Linked DNA regions of Neurospora crassa OR74A. The main gene of each other region encodes a partner of the protein of the gene in region 4 in a complex. Links are inferred from orthologs where the notes say so. Each region holds a gene or a part of one and is shown on either strand. Other genes may lie near its edges. The genes, in order: NCU08353, NCU06993, NCU03479, NCU07885 and NCU03114.

The links.
Region 1: NCU07885 (region 4) and NCU08353 share a complex: the UniProt entries of both Saccharomyces cerevisiae proteins name them as parts of the cleavage and polyadenylation factor (CPF) complex. The link is inferred for Neurospora crassa OR74A from reciprocal best matches to the Saccharomyces cerevisiae genes SWD2 and YTH1.
Region 2: NCU07885 (region 4) and NCU06993 share a complex: the UniProt entries of both Saccharomyces cerevisiae proteins name them as parts of the set1C/COMPASS complex. The link is inferred for Neurospora crassa OR74A from reciprocal best matches to the Saccharomyces cerevisiae genes SWD2 and BRE2.
Region 3: NCU07885 (region 4) and NCU03479 share a complex: the UniProt entries of both Saccharomyces cerevisiae proteins name them as parts of the cleavage and polyadenylation factor (CPF) complex. The link is inferred for Neurospora crassa OR74A from reciprocal best matches to the Saccharomyces cerevisiae genes SWD2 and YSH1.
Region 5: NCU07885 (region 4) and NCU03114 share a complex: the UniProt entries of both Saccharomyces cerevisiae proteins name them as parts of the APT complex. The link is inferred for Neurospora crassa OR74A from reciprocal best matches to the Saccharomyces cerevisiae genes SWD2 and SSU72.

What each region holds. Positions count from the first base shown.
Region 1 is NC_026501.1:5,654,098-5,657,341, reverse strand, and holds NCU08353 (mRNA 3'-end-processing protein yth-1), read left to right. Parts: upstream 1-1,223; 5' UTR 1,224-1,543; coding exon 1,544-2,497; 3' UTR 2,498-2,734; downstream 2,735-3,244. Other genes in the region: NCU11325 (alcohol dehydrogenase), read right to left, coding at 1-267, 328-639, 701-836, 905-937; NCU08354 (hypothetical protein), read right to left, coding at 2,935-3,244. UniProt on the Saccharomyces cerevisiae protein: RNA-binding component of the cleavage and polyadenylation factor (CPF) complex, which plays a key role in polyadenylation-dependent pre-mRNA 3'-end formation and cooperates with cleavage factors including the CFIA complex and NAB4/CFIB.
Region 2 is NC_026504.1:4,813,758-4,817,844, forward strand, and holds NCU06993 (Ash2-trithorax family protein), read right to left. Parts: upstream 2,809-4,087; 5' UTR 2,438-2,808; coding exon 1,983-2,437; intron 1,906-1,982; coding exon 615-1,905; 3' UTR 52-614; downstream 1-51. Other genes in the region: NCU06994 (pre-mRNA-splicing factor cef-1), read left to right, coding at 3,252-4,087. UniProt on the Saccharomyces cerevisiae protein: Component of the Set1C/COMPASS complex that specifically mono-, di- and trimethylates histone H3 to form H3K4me1/2/3, which subsequently plays a role in telomere length maintenance and transcription elongation regulation.
Region 3 is NC_026502.1:551,086-555,308, forward strand, and holds the start of NCU03479 (endoribonuclease ysh-1), read left to right. Parts: upstream 1-1,414; 5' UTR 1,415-1,740; coding exon 1,741-1,890; intron 1,891-1,962; coding exon 1,963-2,060; intron 2,061-2,454; coding exon 2,455-4,223. Other genes in the region: NCU03480 (hypothetical protein), read right to left, coding at 1-758. UniProt on the Saccharomyces cerevisiae protein: Component of the cleavage and polyadenylation factor (CPF) complex, which plays a key role in polyadenylation-dependent pre-mRNA 3'-end formation and cooperates with cleavage factors including the CFIA complex and NAB4/CFIB. Has endonuclease activity.
Region 4 is NC_026503.1:1,232,528-1,236,316, forward strand, and holds NCU07885 (WD repeat containing protein 82), read left to right. Parts: upstream 1-1,313; 5' UTR 1,314-1,440; coding exon 1,441-1,810; intron 1,811-1,873; coding exon 1,874-2,637; 3' UTR 2,638-3,283; downstream 3,284-3,789. Other genes in the region: NCU07884 (mitochondrial oxaloacetate transporter), read right to left, coding at 1-31, 149-165. UniProt on the Saccharomyces cerevisiae protein: The COMPASS (Set1C) complex specifically mono-, di- and trimethylates histone H3 to form H3K4me1/2/3, which subsequently plays a role in telomere length maintenance and transcription elongation regulation. Involved in mediating RNA polymerase II termination.
Region 5 is NC_026501.1:4,604,364-4,608,126, forward strand, and holds NCU03114 (SSU72), read left to right. Parts: upstream 1-1,508; 5' UTR 1,509-1,673; intron 1,674-1,906; 5' UTR 1,907-1,966; coding exon 1,967-2,109; intron 2,110-2,170; coding exon 2,171-2,828; 3' UTR 2,829-3,259; downstream 3,260-3,763. UniProt on the Saccharomyces cerevisiae protein: Component of the cleavage and polyadenylation factor (CPF) complex, which plays a key role in polyadenylation-dependent pre-mRNA 3'-end formation and cooperates with cleavage factors including the CFIA complex and NAB4/CFIB.

The DNA.
Region 1 (3,244 bases), on a different chromosome or scaffold from region 4:
TGGCCACCTTCTCGATCTTGCCGGCAGCGAAACCGACAATCAGGATGCGGCCATTCCACGCAGTACATTTGGTGCTCAGATCTACCAGGCCGACAGGATCGTAGACAATGTCAACACCCTTGCCTTTAGGGGTCAACTTCTTCACCATCTCGGGCCACTTGGGGTCCGTGTAGTCGACGACATGATCAGCGCCAAAGGACTTGGCGACTTCGAGCTTGTGCTTGGTTCCGGCCGTAGCAATGACAGTTGCTCCAAACGCCTTTGCAACTATGTGTGGGATTAGCAACGAAGTAGTTCATCTTCGAGACGGGTATGTATGCCACTAACCTTGGACTGCGGCAAGACCTACACCACCGGCCGCAGCGTGAACAAGGACGAAGTCGCCCTTCTTGACGCCGGCCCGAACAACAAGGGCTCCATAGCTGGTTGGTGCCGTCACAAAGAGGCCGGCAGCATCCACAAGCGACCAGCCTTCGGGAGCTGGGAGGAGGGCCGTCTCCTTGGCTTTGACTTTGGTAGCGTACGCACCCTGGCTAGCTCCAAACACACGTGAACCGACGGGGAACTTGGGGTCCTTGAGGCCGGAAGGGGTGGCGAGAACCACGCCGGCGAACTCGGCACCTGATACCCAGGGGAATGCTAAGACGCAACGTCAGCATACTGAATGCAATGTAAGCGGGACTCAATAAAGAAGCCGCACGTGGTTGATTCTGGTATTTGCCCTGAATCTGAAGAATGTCGAAAAAGTTGGTTGCCGCAGCATGAACTTCAATCAAGTACTCATCTGAAGTAGGTGTAGGGTCTGGAAGCTCCGTGACCCTGAGCTCTTGCGGGCTCTGAGTTAAGGGCTAATGTTAGAACCACGAAATGGGAAGATGTCCTGGATGATCGAGATAGGACATACCTTAACATACTGTGCCACCTGAATGCCTCTCATCTGGGAAGGATACCTGGAGTAATAGAGTGCTTTGTTACACTGGAAAGAAGCAGACGCAGAAACACCGAGTGAGATACACAAGCAGTGAAAGAATGACAACCTATATGATTAAACAAGGGTACAATATGGTTGAACAAATGCCGAATAGCCATCGCGGGGGTGACCGCTAGCCCAGTGTAAGGGAAGCCGAGGTAGCCCAGACCGGGATAGCTGATCTCTGATTGGTCACTCACCTTGCATCTCTCGGTGAGTCCACGTCTTATCGATTTCCAACAATCGATTTGCGACTTGTTGCACTCTTTCTCTCCAAACTCTCAACCACACCTTGCTTCAATTTTTTGAATGGCGCAACCTGCTGTGCGAACTTCTCCCGACCAAAGCCGAATTTGAAACTGGGCAAACGCAGCAAAGAATACGACTCTTGGTTAAGCGTGCATAAACACAAGCCACGCGCATTCTCTAGGCAAGATTCATTACGACTGGTCGCCCAGCTACATACCTCTCCGAACCGATCGTGAACCGCTCGCGACAAAACAAGCCTACCCACCTTGAAGCCCGAATCGCACCGGCGAACCACCTTTTTCCCCCCCTCACACATCCGCCGAGATGGCGACAACAACACAGACAACAACAAACTCCCTCCCCTCTGGGGCAGGAGGACCGCAACAACTCGTCACTCAGATGCTCAACCACACCGCGCCACACTATACCTTCTCCTTCACGCCCTTCCTCCAGCGCACGTACCAGCACTCTCTCCCCGCCGACCGACCCATCTGCAAAGCCTACGCCTCAGGCAACTGCCCCCTCAAATCCCACTGCCCCGAGCGCCACGTTACCGCGTCGTCCCAAAACACCCATGGCGGCGGTAACACCTTCAGCGGCGGCTTCGGCTCGCTAGTCTGCAAGCATTGGCTGCGCGGCCTCTGCAAAAAGGGCGAATCGTGCGAGTTCCTGCACGAGTACAACCTGCGCAAGATGCCCGAGTGCAATTTCTTCGTCAGGAACGGGTACTGCAGCAACGGGGACGAGTGTCTGTATCTGCACATTGATCCGCTGTCGAGATTGCCGCCGTGCCCGCATTACGAGAGGGGGTTCTGTCCGCTGGGACCGCGATGTGACAAGAAGCATTTCCGGAGGAAGCTGTGTTTGTATTACCTGGCGGGCTTCTGTCCGGATGGGAAGGGCTGCAAGGAGGGCGCGCATCCGAGGTGGACGGCGGATAAGGATATGGAGAAGCCGAGGGCGAAGGGGGAGGGAGATCAGATGCTGCTGCAGCAGCAACAGCAGCAGCAACAACAACAACACATGGGCGATGCTAATGGTATGGGTGGTGGAATGGCGCAGGCGACGGGCGCGAATGAGTATATGGACCGAGAGAGGGAGCGCGATCGGGATAACAGGGAGAGGGAGATGATGATGCAGGGACGCGATAGGGACGGTGGCGGGCATGATCGCCATAAGGATCGCTTTGGAGGCGGAGGAGGAGGAGGAGGAGGAGGCAGAGGCCGAGGAGGATGGAGGGGAAGAGGAAGGGGAGGATTTAGGGGTAAAGGTCATTAAGAGAACATTGGTCCCAAAGCGGCCAGGGGAGGTCAAATGGTACATGAACATAGCGACATATTTAGGCTAGTGCTCGGACGATGAGAAGGCCCAGGAATCCGGTAGTAAAGACCAGGTATGCATCACGGAATAAGGAATAGGTCACGGCGCAAAGGCAAGGTTATATCTAGTGTATTAGCTGTAGGTCAGGTTTACATTCACAGGGTTTGTGAGATTCTTATAAAAATTGCTAGCTTGACAGTTTTGAGGAGCTGTGATCTGTATGTTCTTCCAAAATAGACTGAGAGGGACGAGATCCCAAAACATGAACGCCGCTCCCTACCTAGGACACCCGTAACCAAATGATAATCAACCCACCGTCTGAGATGCTATGGCATATGCCATTCTTGTCGACACTGCCTTCTTTTGTACTCTTCCAAACTATTCCCATGAAGACTTTACTCCATCGGCACCGCAACAAACAACTCATTCGATGTGCGGGCCCCAGTCCCCACCTCCTCCTCATCCCCATTCTCGCTTCCCATAGACCTCACCGAGCCACCCGACCTTGGGCTATTAAACGAGCTATGACTCGACTGCCACGCCGCCAGCTCGTCCACCGTCCGGATACCCATCATCCACGCCACCAGCCCGCGCGGCACCCAGCGTCCGACAAACCCATACACGCTCGCGCCGAGGCCGACGCGCACAGTGCCCTTGGTAATGGACCCGTCAATCACGTCAAAAACAGCATTATGCAGCTCCCGC
Region 2 (4,087 bases), on a different chromosome or scaffold from region 4:
TGAATGGATTCCGCTACGCTGTCGAGAATGGAATGATAGAATATTATCGATGGGAAACCTTTTGATTTCGGTTGCGAGAATCCGACGATACACCCAGTCGGACTAAGATGTCATTTTACTGCTTATGTGTGTTTGTTGATCCGTCCAGGAATCTCACGAATACCGTTCTCGATGCTCGTTTATGCCCATCGGCCGTCACAAGACCGGCTGACACTCATCCCCAAGTAGTAGAGATTGCAACACCTTTTGGCAATTAACCAGTTCTCTACTATTTCTACCACTTGGGTATTTCTTTCAAAACTCCATCCGAGGCACACCTAACCATATGTAGCCTACCAGCCCTTGATGCATAGCCCTCACCACTCGCTGAAGATTGTAATCAGATATGCAAAAACAAATACAAAGCAAAAACAATTTTGCGAAGCCTCGACATAGTGAAACAGAACCGTGTTACGCTTCTGTCCCCAACCCAACTGAAAGCATTTCCAACCGGAACTGCAAACCTCTCTCGCCTCCATATCCATGAGTGACTGACTCCAGGTACGTCTCGTCTACTTGACAGCACGTGAACACCGCCATCGAAGTCCGTCCCACATGAGTCTGTCCCGGGATACCTAATCGTCCTGGACAAGCTCCTTGATTTCGTCCCGCCCACCAGGCAACAATTGCGCTCCGCCCCCACCCGTCGCCAGCAACTTCTCGGCGTCCTTCGCCGTGAGGTTGAAACGGTCAATCACCTTGCCACCGTCCTGGGCCCAGAAGCCAACTTCATCGATAATGTCGTAGACGATATCTTCGACTATTTGCTCCTCGTAGCGACCCGACACCGGCCGCAGGGGTTCTTGATTCGGCACACTTCCGTCGTCAAGCATGTCCACGTCGTCCTCATCGCCTACCCCGTTCTGCTGCTTCTGGGGAAGACCAGACCCAGGTGGTGGGAACCAGAAGTCTGGGCCAAAGTTCACCTCGACGGCGCCACCGCGGAAAACACTTACGGCTGGGTAGTATCCGACAGTTCCGTCGTCGAGAGCTTCTCTGCCGGCATGTGCCCCTGACTGAGTACTTTGTTTTGATGCGGGTGGTAGGAAGGCGAAGAGGTCAGTCCAAGGCGTGCCCATGTCCTTTCCATTTTTGTAAATCTTGATGTACGAGTTCGGCAGCGTCCGTAGCGACGGCAATGGGTGATTTGGGTTCGGCGGTTCCGGCGAGTTTGAGCTTGCCGATGCTACCGGCGCGGGACTGAACAAGTCTTCCAGCTCCTTGGTTGTGTGGTAGTCAATCTTCTCAAAGTAAATGTGTTGTTTGAACCGAATGGGGATCCGGTCCCGGATGATGTTGGGTGCCTCGAGCGATGGTTCGTCGTCTGCCAAGTCGACCGCAGGGTTATAATGCCCCGTTACAATCTTCCTGTGTAAATGTTCCGAAGGCAGCTGGATCTCCAGCCCGATCACATCTCCTTCTTTGATCTCCTCGCCAGGCGGGAAGAAGTCTTTCGGCCGTGACATGTGCACCTTTTGTCCAGCCACGTCTCGAATACCATAACTGTAGCAATCGAACCCGACGGGGGCGTCGAGAGAAGCCTCACGCCGCGCCCAGCCCACGCGAACGTGCCCATGCGCCTTGGTATCACCTTCGGAACCTGGCTCGCGCAGGGTGCCTCGAGTGACCTTGCACTCCCAATACCACCTGCCCTCTCGCACGGCCACGTTGGCTCGTGACATACGGAAGCCCTTGTCGGTGGTGACATGACGACCCTGTCGGTCAAAGTATACGTGGGAGGCAGAGTCCTCGAAGGCCATGTGGGCAGCGTACGGCTCGGTCTCGGTCTGGCGATAGTAGAACATGGAAGGAAACGTTGGGTCGGCTATACAGTGAGTGTAATGGAACGCTCGCTTGTTGAAGACACTGTAGGAAAAAGGCAAATCAGAATATGCTCCGCATGAATGGAGAATGGCGAAGGAGCAAATATAGATAAGACATACTGTTCGGTTGCATCAAAGAATTCGATGGTCTCGCCCTCGGGCCCTTGAACCTCATGATGGCTGGTGAAGACGGGACCGCGCGCGGGCTCGAAATCAGTAAGTTTGGGCGGAGCGAGCTTATAGCGCGCGGGGAGCAATTCGTTGATCAAGGGCTCTTTGTGTTGCTGCTTCGGGTCTGGAGTTGCTCTAGAACTATCGGAACCGCCTGCTGCTGCCTTGGCCTCCCTCTTCTTGAAGGAGTCCTTCTTTGTTCTCTTTTCGCGGTTTAGAACGGCTGCTTGCTGGGTGTCTTCGGGTGCCTGTATTTGGACTCTTGGAGCGGCCTTGTTATCTGGGTTTAGGGGTGATGGAACTGCTGGACTGTGGTCGTCTTCGAGCGTGCGCTTCTGAGGGATCGTCGTGGCAGCTCCGGAAGGTGTTTGCTCCCTTCGGGGAGAGCCTACGTCGCTGGCCATATGTAGCTCGGCAGACGTCGTGCTAGCAGTAACGTTGACAAATATTTAACTAAGTGATTAGTTTTGCTTTCGCAAGCTGTCCTTGTCCTGAAGTCGACTTGTGTTTGGACTCGAACGGCGAGCACTCCAAGTCCAAAGTAGGTACCGACGGGAGCTCTTCTGATCGACGACAGCTTATGGATGCTAAGAATAATCTGAGAATTGCCCGATGGTGATCCTACGGGTAAATGCTTTGGTACTCGGAGAAGACGCGTACTTTTGGAGAGCGCAATTGGGTTAAAGAGTCCAGTTTCGGAGCGATTTGATGTTCTTTCTGGGGATTTCTGTAAAGAGTTGAGAAATGTAAGAGGAAAGAAAGACATGTGAACCAGAAATGGTGGATGGAAGCTTCATCCACTCGACCAACAGCAGCAGCGTGTCGCGACAAAAGGGCGGGGCATCCTTCTGTTAGTGGTTAACGGCAGGCAGGGGTCCCGGAGCTTGGCTCGCTTGTTAGTTACCACATGCATGGGACACAAAAATGCTAACAGCGCGGGAACCTGTTGCCTGCCGCAAAAAGGTCTTGAGGTTGGCTAGCGCTTGACAGTTGATACTGGGAAAGACGCCAAGGCAGTTGCGTCGCGGGTGATTCCATTGTTCGCCTTGACGCCAGCGCTTTGAATTTCTGGATTTCTTCCCCATCAACACAACAACATTTCAACACTTTCAATTCCAATTCCAAGACAACCCCAACCCCGAGTGTCCTCCCACCTACCGGAACGACTCCCGCATCACTACAACGCCCGACGAGTATCCATAACGGCCGAGCGACAAGATGCCCGTCGTCAAGGGAGGTGTGTGGACCAACATCGAGGATGAAATCCTCAAGGCGTCGGTCAGCAAGTACGGCCTGAACCAGTGGGCCCGCGTCTCGTCGCTGCTGGCCCGCAAGACGCCCAAGCAGTGCAAGGCAAGATGGAACGAATGGCTGGATCCCAGCATCAAGAAGATCGAATGGAGCAAGGAGGAGGATGAGAAGCTGCTGCACCTCGCCAAGCTGATGCCGACCCAATGGCGTACCATTGCCCCCATCGTTGGAAGAACCGCAAACCAGTGCCTGGAAAGATACCAAAGACTTCTCGACGAAGCTGAGCAGAGGGAGGCGTCCGCTCTTGGGCTGACGGGCCCTGATGGAGGCGAAGCTCACGCGCCCAGCGCCGACGATGTTCGCAAACTACGTCCTGGCGAGGTCGACCCCGATCCGGAGACGAAACCCGCCCGTCCCGACACCATCGATCTCGATGAAGATGAGAAAGAAATGTTGAGCGAGGCTCGCGCGCGTCTGGCCAACACACAGGGTAAAAAGGCCAAGCGAAAGGCCCGTGAGCGACAGCAGGAGGAGTCACGCCGACTGGCCGCTCTCCAGAAGCGTCGCGAGTTGAAGACAGCCGGTATCAACATCAAGGTTACGACAAAGAAGCAGGGCCAGATGGACTACAATGCCGATATTCCATTCGAAAAGAAGCCTGTTCCCGGATTCTATGACACCACCGAGGAGATGTCTCGCAACGAGTACCAGCGCGCCCATTTCGACCCCAAGAAGCAGCAGGTTGGGAACAAGCGCAAGGGTGAAGAGGACGAGAGAGACGGCAAGAGGAGAAAGGGCGACAA
Region 3 (4,223 bases), on a different chromosome or scaffold from region 4:
GCGGCCGACTGAGGCGTAGTGGCGTAGTTCTGGGGAAGGTAAGGCGAGCCCGGCTGAGAGGCAGGACTTGCGCCGGTCTGGGGACGCTGCTGGTTCGGCGGTATCGAGAACTGCGCTTGGGTGGTGGGCGCCGGAGAGGGTGTGTGCTGCGGACGAGCAAACTGCGGTTGCTGGTGGACTGGCGGGCTAGGGTGTTGGATCTGAGGTTGCTGCAACTGGGCCTGGGGATGCTGGAGTTGTGGATGATGTTGCTGTTGTTGCGGCTGCGGGACATGCTGCTGCTGCTGCTGAGGATGTTGGGGGTGTTGTGGTTGTTGTTGAGCGTGTTGCTGGTGAGTTGGGGCTTGCTGGTGCCCTTGCTGATGGACCTGTTGCTGTACACGTTGCTGCGGCTGCTGTTGCTGTTGTTGTTGCGGCGGCGGCGGTTGGGTCTGCTGTTGGCTATGTTGTTGCAACTGTTGGGGAATTTGGCGAGGCTGGACATGCTGCTGAGGTTGCTGGGCGCGTTGCTGCAGCTGTTGCTGAGCAAGGGCTTGGGCTTGTTGTTGAGCGAGCATCTGGGCACGTTGTTGCTGTTGTTGCTGGAGCTGGAACTGTTGCAACTGCGGCGACATTTGTGGTGGTTGCTGCTGCTGCTGCAACTGAGGTTGTTGTTGTTGTTGTTGTTGTTGTTGTTGCAACTGAGGCTGCTGCTGTTGTAACTGAGGCTGCTGCTGTTGCAACTGAGGCATCTGAGGCTGTTGCGGTGGTTGCGCCATGGTGATGGGGCGCCCTTGGGGTGGACAGATGAAGGTCGTCGTTGATAATAAGCAGCTATTCCTTGTCCTCCAGCTGACGGCGAGGCTGAGCTCCCAACTGATCAAGTGCTCAGGTTCCCGTCACCGTAAACCCAAGTGGAAGCAGGCGAACCTGCGCTGCCCCTCTAGCTACGCCGTGTCTCTCCTTCCATACGCCGGTCGCTCGTATCGATCGGTGTCCGAGTTGGTCGATGTATTTCTCGCTCGTTGGAGTATCGTCGTGGTCGACAATTAATTGTCGTTTGGATCCGCGGGAGTGATGGCGACGGTGGGAGGTTATGAATCGGATTGTTGGGTGAAGCACTGGAGGAGGGGAGGTCGAGGTCGGGTGGTCGGAGAAAGAATGACGAACAATAAAATCGAAAAGAGGGACTCTCGCACACGAAGAACGACGGGACCAGTTGCTGCCCGCCGCTGCAGGTTCAATTGCTTGTTGCTAGCGGCGGCACGAGCTCCACTGAACCTCAACAAGGGTCGCGTCTGGTACGTACAATGAAGTGAGTGAGCCAGTCACGTGTGAGATTGGTGGAAAATAGTGGGGCATTTGGCCGTTGACGGTTGTTGTGCGGCTGGCTTGGGACCGAAGAGGGACTTCCGGCAGGCAAATCAGCCGCCAACTTCAACCTCACTTCATTCAACGAGCACTTGCCATCTTCATCCAAAACGCATTCAACATCCATCAACGAAATCACATCAAGGGCGCCATCCATATTCACGGCGCGTACTAATCCGTGATATTCCGTCTTTCTTCTCACGTCGACTGAGCCACGTCATCTCGCAATTGACGTGCGTAATTCGCGTTTCAAATCGCATCGAAACCGCCACACTTTGCCAATCAAACAATCGCAGTCAGCAGCTTGAAAGTTCCCAAGTATATACAGGGCGACGGTGGGAAAGCAAGGATTTACGCGTGGAGCGAACGAACCAAAAGAATACCTAAGCCATGGCTTCCAAGCGGAAGGCTTCGGCAATGGCGACGGAGCCAGAGGAGCCGGTCGACCCAGCGGATGAACTCATGTTCCTCAACCTCGGCGGAGGCAACGAAGTCGGCCGATCATGTCACATCATCCAGTACAAGGGCAAAACCGTTATGGTGCGCAAAATCAACCAAAATCAATCACTCCTCCCAACGAACATGGGCTGACCTCTCCGTGGGTTGTTGTAGCTTGATGCTGGCCAACATCCAGCATATGATGGCCTAGCTGCCCTTCCATTCTTTGATGACTTCGATCTCAGCACAGTAGATGTCCTCTTGATCAGCCAGTAAGCCCAACCCCCTTCACCCCCTTTTTTTGCCATGGCCTACAATTATATGTATGCCCGTCTATCCGCGAGAGACAGTGCCGCAGTGTTTGGCTTGGGACAAGATGGGTTGATGATCGAGCTGGGCTCTGGATATACGCCATCGCCAGTGACTGACACGTTGCTCTATGGTCTCTGCGGTTCTTGTCCGCTTTGCAGCATTGTACCGTCCATCATATACATGTATTCAGGAAATGAAAATACAAAAGAATTTGTCGCCATTGCCCGCTCTTCTCCTTTTCCCCCTCCCATCTTGTCTGCCACTCGCGCTGCATGTTCTCTGTGAAGCACTGTCCTCGCCCATAGTCGCCTACCTGGTCCAGACCTTAGCCGAGACTGACTGCCCACTCTCTAGTTTTCATATCGACCATGCCGCCTCGTTACCATATGTCTTGGCCAAGACCAACTTCCGAGGCCGTGTCTTCATGACACATGCCACCAAGGCTATCTACAAATGGCTTATCCAGGACAGTGTCCGTGTTGGCAACACATCGTCGAACCCGCAATCGTCGCTCGTCTACACCGAGGAGGACCATCTCAAGACCTTTCCCATGATCGAGGCCATCGACTACAATACTACCCACACCATCTCCTCCATCCGCATCACACCATACCCAGCCGGCCACGTCCTTGGCGCCGCCATGTTTCTGATTGAGATCGCCGGCCTCAAGATCTTCTTCACTGGCGACTATTCCCGTGAAGAAGACAGGCATCTTATCTCTGCCAAAGTCCCCAAGGGTGTCAAGATCGACGTCCTCATCACCGAGTCCACCTACGGTATCGCCTCGCACATTCCCCGACCAGAACGTGAACAGGCCCTCATGAAATCCATCACCGGCATCCTTAACAGAGGCGGCCGCGTCCTCATGCCCGTCTTCGCCCTCGGTCGAGCCCAGGAGCTCCTCCTCATCCTCGACGAGTACTGGGGCAAGCACGCCGAATACCAGAAATACCCCATCTACTACGCCTCCAACCTCGCGCGCAAGTGTATGCTTGTCTACCAGACCTATGTCGGCTCCATGAACGACAACATCAAGCGGCTGTTCCGCGAGCGTCTGGCCGAGTCCGAGTCCTCCGGTGACGGTGCCGGCAAGGGAGGACCATGGGACTTTAGGTTCATCCGCTCCCTCAAGAGCCTTGACCGCTTCGAGGACGTCGGCGGCTGCGTCATGCTTGCCTCCCCTGGTATGCTCCAAAATGGCGTCAGTCGCGAGCTGCTGGAGCGATGGGCGCCGAGCGAGAAGAACGGCGTTATCATCACCGGTTACTCCGTCGAGGGCACCATGGCCAAGCAGCTCCTTCAAGAGCCAGAGCAGATTCAAGCCGTCATGTCTCGCAACATTGCCGGTGCCCGCCGCGGCCCCGGTGGTGACGCCGAGAAGGTCATGATCCCCCGTCGCTGCACCGTCCAGGAGTTCTCCTTTGCTGCGCACGTTGACGGCGTGGAAAACAGGGAGTTCATCGAGGAAGTCGCCGCCCCCGTCGTCATCCTCGTTCACGGCGAGGTGCACAACATGATGCGTCTCAAGTCCAAGCTTCTTTCGCTCAACGCGACCAAGGAACACAAAGTCAAGGTGTTCAGCCCCAGAAACTGCGAGGAGCTTCGCATCCCTTTCAAGACGGACAAAGTCGCCAAGGTGGTGGGCAAGCTTGCGTCCATCCCGCCTTCTTTAAAGGAAGCCAAGACCGGGCATGACGGACCTCTTCCCTCCTCTACCGAACCTCAGCTTATCACTGGTGTTTTGGTGCAAAACGACTTCAAAATGTCCCTGATGGCTCCGGAGGATCTCAGAGAGTATGCTGGCTTGACGACCACCACTATTGCGTGCAAGCAGCGTTTGAAGCTGAGTGCCGCTGGTATTGACCTCATCAAGTGGGGTCTCGAAGGAACCTTTGGTGCCGTCGAAGAACTCCCCGAAGTGAAGCCAAAGCTGGAGATCGTTAAGAGCGAGAACGGCGATACCAAGATGGAAGAAGCTGATGAGGAGTTGCCCCACGGTGACGACGTGGTAGCCGCTTACCTGGTCATGGGATGCGTCACCGTCCGCTACCGTGCCAGCGGCGAGGTAGAACTAGAGTGGGAAGGCAACATGCTCAACGACGGCATTGCTGATGCCGTGATGG
Region 4 (3,789 bases):
GCAGGCTGCGATGCCGCCGGCTATAAAGGCGCTGTGAGGGAGGGAGGGATGTTAGTCTGGGCTTGGGACCGGGAGGGGGGGGTTTGGGTTGGGTTGGGTTGCGCGCGCGCACTGGGCGCATTGTGAGGAGGGGAAAGGGAGAGCTTACCCTGCTGTTGTTGACATAGTGACGTTAGGGTATCTGTTTTGGGAGAATGTATGGGGAAGAAGGGTGAGGGAGGGGAAAATATCAGGGAGAACTCAAGTCGAGTCCCCAGAGTCTTTGGGTTGATTGCGACGGAGTTGGCGCGCAAAGTCAAAGAAAGGCGCAATGCCGAGTCTTGCCGGTGTTCGGAGAGAGAGAGGGGGGAACACGGGAACTAATTCGGGAGTAGGCCGGGGAAGGCGGGAGTGGATGTCACCGTATCACGGAGAGTAACGACGGCAATGAGGGGATGATCTGGGGAAAGATCAGATCGGTGTATGTACAGGTGTACAACTGAACGAAGTCACAACGAACGACGACGACTGCTTCTTTCTCCAGGAACAGGAAGGAAAGAGAAGACCACCGAGAGCTGTCCGGGAAATTTATTGGAGCTTCAAGGTGGCCTCGCCGGTCAGTCGCCGGGCAGACAAGGGGGTCGAAGTGATCGACTGGGACCAACTCCCGCTTTGGGTCAGGCACGGAAGTTGGTGTCAAGATCCTCCTCCGATGCCGTGGATGGGGGTGGTGCCCAATGGCGACGAGGCGAAGGAGTTGTAAGTGCTGCGGTTTCGGCGCGCGGACAACAGATTAATGTGGAGTTTCTGCGGTATGACAAGGGGGCGTGGCGGGTCGGGCGGCCCAGACGTGGACCCTGAATCAGAACCGGAAATGTCTGGGCCGGGGAACGCTGTCGTTGCTGCGAGGGAGGGTTAGGGCCTAGGCGCGATGGACGGCAACAAGTGTCCGAATCGGAGCTTGATGACAATTTCGAAAAAGACGAAGGTACCGAAAGCTTGGAAGACAGTCATACTGGGACCTCAATTGAGCATCCTACCGTAGTGTGTAACGATTGCCATTTTAGCTTCGTGAACATACACTAGCACCGTTGTCAATTGACTGCTCGGTTTGCGGCCAAATCACCAACGTATCCCAGCGTTGATGGAGTTTGTCCAGCTGTCACTGACATCGATACCTACTTACCCAACTGGTGTCGTTGTCCATGCAGTGACCATGGATCGAAACAAGGGTTAGGGTCTTGGGCCACTGCCAAGCCATTGTATGTACCTTGACGTCGCATTACTGAAGCTCTGTCTCTCCGCCCGGCAGAAACACCAACGCGGTTGACGGATGCTACTAAGTTTTGAACCAAACATCAAATAACTACCATCAATCCGATACTATACAATTTGACCCAATATATTTGCCCCGCCATCTTCTCTGGTTCTAGCCGGTTTCAATACGATCAATCGACCGCAATGTCATCGACACCGATGGACATCGACGAACCCGGCGCGGGAACACCCTCCCTGAACGTTACTCGGTTACTTGGGCCTAATGGGCCCAGTACCTCCAAGATCAGTGAGGTGATCAAGAATTTTAGGCCGACAAAGTTCTTCCAGAGAGACGACGTGAAGGAGGGTAGGCCCCAGCCATACGTTCTATCGATCGACTTTGACGACCCTGGCGAGCTTTGCATGACGTCTGAAAGCGACGAGACCATCCAGATATATAACGTTAGGGAAGGTCGGCATGACAAGAGCTTGCTGAGCAAAAAGTACGGCGTCAAGCATGCGAAGTTTACACATTCCAGCTCGGGCATCATCTATGCGAGCACGAAGCAAAACGGTATGTCACTGGACGCCCTTTCTCCCTTCAATGACTGCTCTTCGCTGACCTGGATCGCCACAGACGCAATCCGCTATCTGGCAACCCACGACAATACGTTTATCCGATATTTCGAAGGCCACGAGGCCTCCGTTACCAACATTGCTCTCCATCCCGGCTCCGATAACTTTCTTTCATGCAGTCTTGACACCACAGTCAGGCTCTGGGACCTCAACAGCAGGAACTGGGTTGCCAAATTCCATCTCACCAATCCCACTTTAGCGGCCTGGGACCCTGCTGGTCTCGTTTTTGCCATCGCCCTACCAGCCAGCGCCAGCATTCTCCTTTACGATTACCGCAACTACGTGAAACCGTTCAAGATCATCGACGTTTTGAAAGAGAAGGGGCCAGCTGATGCGGATGCCGTCTTCAGAGGCTGGACGAAACTCGAGTTCTCCAACGACGGGAAGCATATTCTTCTAGGAACACGGACCGGAGGACACTTCCTCTTTGACGCCATTGACGGGAACCTGAAGGCGTACTTGCGAAAGCCCCAAGGCGGCACCAGACGGCCAGCCCCTGGCGAGGCTGATGGTGGAAGCGGTGCGCTAGAGAGCAGTGGAGACTGTTGCTTTACGCCAGATGGACGATATGTCGTGTCGGGCGCGGCCAAGGACCTGTTGGTTTGGGACACATTGCAAACTCCCAATAACAAGGTTCTGGAACCGAATTTCCTTCCCCAGGAAGGAAAGAAGGAACCAGTCCTTGTGCAGTACAACCCAAGATTCAACATGATTGCCACTGCGGATAAGGAGCTTATGTTTTGGCTGCCGGTCTCCGATTTATAAACGGAGTCTATCGGAAACTGTTGGACCTCACCTCCATGGTCAACCCCACGGAATATGTGGGACCGGGCTTTGCCGGTTCAGCGCAAACGTCCGCTTGAGAAATATGAATTGGCGACGTTTATCTGGGCCGAAGTCGATGATCAAGAGTTCTAAAATAACTTTTCATTATTTCTGGACACCGATCGCTTCGTGGTTGTGGGGGCGTTGTCCCCATTGTGGCGCCGGGATACTTGGAGAGTTCCCCAAAAGCCGCACGCACGAGGAAGGGGGTTGTGGCTCAAACTGCACAGGACCCATGCCGCGATGTACGAAGGTCTTGGATGGTATCCTGTTGCTACATCAGGGCAGAGCAGAAGAGCGTCGTGGTAAGAGAACATGAGAGACGCCGGGAACAAAAGAAGATTTTGATGCACTGTACATGAGATACCCATTTTGCATTATTCGCCGGCGTATGGGAGTAGTTAGCATGCTTCAAAGGGTTCAGGTCGCGAGGCAAGTGGTCTGGAAGGCTGATTTAACCAGGCTCGTAGGAGGAGATGGAAAGGAATGGTCAAGATGAACAGCATGTAATGGTTGATCAAGTTGATTTTCACTGAGGGGATGATAGGCATTAGCAAATAGAGGAAGCTCAATATTGTTTACTGTCCATAAAGAATCTGACCATCAGGTAGTCTTGATGAAGGTTGAGTTCAATACCACCCTGAATCCCATATGTCAGGCCTTGGACGACGGGAGCTTAAAGTAAACACATCCCCTGTTGCCCCCTGTCATTAGAGGTATGCCCCGCATTTGAGCTGGATGGGACCGCGGTGAACCCCACCAATGCAACACCCGTTTCAGCGTGCAAGCAGAGAGCTCACCGAAACCGTGGCACCAAAACTTCCCGGGGAAGCGACAAGGTGAACCCACATCATCCTTACCTCCAACATATCACGTCGCCTTGACGCCTTCGCATTTATCCCAAGTCACCAACCGCCGCTGCGCGCCACATTCCCAAACCGCCAGCCGACACCAATTATCACAAAATAACCATTCGGGTACCGAATATCCTAATCAGTGCACGAAGAGTACAAACGAAGCGATCACTACTTCGACGGAACAATCCAGTCGCACGGCACGCGACCACTGTCCCATCACACGTCGTCGTCTAGA
Region 5 (3,763 bases), on a different chromosome or scaffold from region 4:
GTGTGGACCACGGACATCGATTTGCAAATGTTTGATGCTTGCAAAGCGGCCACAACTACCAACGGCTTGTTCAACGGTTCGCTTGTCCGTCGTCTGAAGTCTCGGAAATGTAAGGGCTCTGGATTCTGAGTGTTTCGGTTTTAGGCCGAATTCGTTAAGGGATCCCGTGTGAGGGACGCAATGTAGAAAAGATAGTGGTGAAAGTGTGCGAAGGGGCACACTGGGGTAGCAAGGTGGGCAATTGTCAGCTTAAAGAGCTTGTATAGACATGGAGAGGCCTTGTGTGGTCGGCAAGCTGAGATGAGCGATTGCGAGCTGTCAATATAGACAGGGTATGGTGGGAACGGAGGGGGATTCGAAGAAAAGAGGAGAAGAAAAAGAGGCAGAATCTCAGGCAGGAACAGGTAGGTAGATTTGGGGGGGGGGGTGCCGCATCAAGTTACTACCTCTACTTACGACGGGATACCTCTAGTACAACTTGGACAAAGTTAAGCGCGCTGCCGCAGGTTTACTCCAGGTTTAGGCCTGCTCCTCTCATTGGCAAATAGCAACCGCTGGTCACCTGCAATCAATCAGTCGAACCTCTGAGGACGGGACTCGGTCGCCTTGGACCAACATACCTAACCTCTTTGCTTATCCTGTTAGTGTCGACCTAGACGATGGCTGGCAAATTTTTGGGTAACGAATCGGGGTTAGGTATGGGGGGCTCAAAAAGTCCACTTCAGAGGACAGCTCTCGTTGACAAAGGCGGGCAACTTGCAGGACACACTGCAGTTTCTGTGTGTCAACCACGGAGATTAAAACTTGAATTTGATTTTACGCCCAAAATACCTCTACGTTCTAACACATATCGAAACAGGATATACCACGCGGGTAATACTGCCATTTGCAAATGTACTTTCTACGTGTGCCTCTATTGTTGGTTAACATGTTCCAACGAAGAAAAACTTCGCACGAAACTCTCAACTTCCCGTCCCAACAGGGATGTTTATCACTGCATGTTTGTGTCCACCATTGGATGTTCTCGATGCCTTCGATGTGGGTGATTGGCTCCGTGAATGCGTCCCGAACAGCAACGTGGTACCCATGGAATTTCCCAAGGCACTAGCTATGAGTTGCGCATTCCCTGTGTGGGACCTTTTAAGAAAAGTTATTGAAAAGGTAAGTTCCAATGTTCTGTGCACGATATTCTACAGTGCATCGATACGCATGGTGACCGAGGCTCGAGGCCCGTGAGGTTTGGGTCCTGGGAGAAAAAAAAAATACCTGGGGATCGTCTCACTGTGATTCTGCAGTGCATATCCGCGGACCGCTGCAGACTCGAGAGGTGGGGGAAGTTGACGAGAACGGAAAGAAGGGCAACGGGCTGCAAGACGCACGAGCCACCCACCATTTCACTCTGAAACACTGAAACGTTCTAATTTTGGAAAGCGGTCAGATGGGGCACTATGTGCGTATGACCACCACTTGTCCCTCGCAGTCGGTAACCAAACAGATTTGTTCCAAATTCCACATCCCACTTTTCACCGTCCAAAATCTCCGCGCCAGCAGCAACTGGTGAACAGGTTTGGACATCAACGACATTTAACAAGTTATATATGTGTGGTAGCAGGCTACCTCGACTAACTTAATCATCATCTGTCTGCGCTTTGCGCTCAGCTGAAGCTTGAAAGGTAATTCCTGCGCTCTTTTCCGCTCTCCCTTTATCAACCGTCTCTTTCCTTTATGATGATCTTTTTATTGGAGCTGTCTGTAGCCTGCTATGTCTGGCGTTTGATGACAAACTTTTACATACGCTTTTTTTATCTGATGTGTACCGAGGACAACCTACACTTTTGCACTTGCCATGTCTGTATCGCAGAAGGGAACGCATTGATAACTAACATTGGCATCTTGCGCTTTCTAGGTCTTTCCAGTCAAGCATGCCACATCTGCCACAGTAACAAGTTACCTGCAACTGCCGGCTATGTCTGCTGTAGATACCCCAACTGGTGCCGCGAGCTCATCGAAGCCGGACCAGAATGAGCAGAATGGTCAAAACGGTGGGCGTGAAGACTCTGGCGGCTTCAAGCTAAAGTTTTGCACCGTCTGCGCCAGTAACCAGAATCGGTGAGCAATTTTACGCATCGCATCGTCACGCAACTGGATGACCCCGTCTAACCCTCACCAGCTCCATGGAAGGTCACTTGCGACTCTCTCTTGCAAATTATCCCGTGATTTCGTTTGGTACAGGCTCTCTTGTCCGTCTCCCCGGGCCGTCCATTACACAGCCCAATGTCTACAAGTTCAACGAAACATCATACGATAGTATATATCGGGAGTTGGAAGCCAAAGACCCTCGCTTATATCGCGCAAATGGACTGCTAAACATGCTTGGGAGAAACCGCCAAGTCAAGTGGGGCCCTGAGCGATGGCAGGACTGGCAGATTGGAATGCCTAGAACCAAGCACAAGGATGACAAGGGAGCTGATGGCATGGAGGGCGGCGTAGCTGATGTTGTCATCACCTGTGAGGAACGCTGTTGGGATGCTGTGATTGAAGATCTTCTCAACCGTGGCTCGCCACTTAACAGGCCTGTTCACGTCATCAACATCGATATCAAGGATAACCATGAAGAGGCATCCGTGGGAGGGCGAGCCATTGTCGATTTGGCAGACTCACTCAACAAGATTGCTGCCGAGGAGCGGGAGAAGGTTGGCGCTTCTGCCTTTGACTCGGGAAGCGTAGGCGCCAGATCAGGATTCGATGAGCGCGTACCGGACGTCCTGGCCGAGTGGCAGGAGAGATGGCCGAATCTTCCTGCGACATGGACTTTGGCTTGGTTCTAAGCATTGAATTGGCGTATTGTTTGAGCTCGTGCATCGTAAGGCGTTGGATGTTCTTTTTATTGCCTGGCGGGCGTAATCGCGGTTACGGACAGGGTGGGGGGTACATCTTTTTGGGTTCATGATTGATGACCAAACAACACAGACGAACAAGACGTTTTGGCCGTCACAACATAATGCTGATTTGGACTCGTAATCTCTATCAACAAGCCGTTGTTATCCGGGATTTATGAATTCTGCTGCTGCCATGATTGGCTTCAACTTGCTATTTTGTGAGGTCGCACCCCTCCTGGTTTTCTCAGAATATGTCGACCTCCGTGATTTGGCAGGCCATTTCCTCTTCCACCAGCCAGACCGCCAATTAAGCATTTTGTTTGTTACGCATATGCTTACTTCTATCACAAACATAATAATATCGCATGCATACATGCTCGGAGATGGGAGCTCATCGGCCCACCTGACGAGTACCCTGCATGGTATCCCAAAAAGCATTTTAAGATGACGAGCCGCACGGTTCATTATACGCAACATTGGATGCAAAGAAAACATAGCAGAATTTTGGAGATCTTCCTTGCTTATTGGGATCTGGGGTACTCAACGGTTGCCAGCATCTAGAAAATATCGAAACATGCACAACCGGGCAACCGGCCGTGCCCCCGCAGTGAGCAGGCCTACTTGTGACAATGCAACTAAACGCGCGAAGGTCAAAAATGAAATACATGGGGCTGTGGTGGCCATTGGACACACACTTGGAAGACGAAGACCATTAAGGTTACTGCTAATGCATGTTGTCACTACCTATCATGTTGGGGTGTTGGGCGGGAGTGCCCGAGGTCGAGGTGGCATTTGATGTGATGCGGGTATGCCTACATACCCATGTGGATAAATCTCAATATCTATATCGTCGGTCTCAAGTAAGAATTGCATTGTATTTCGGC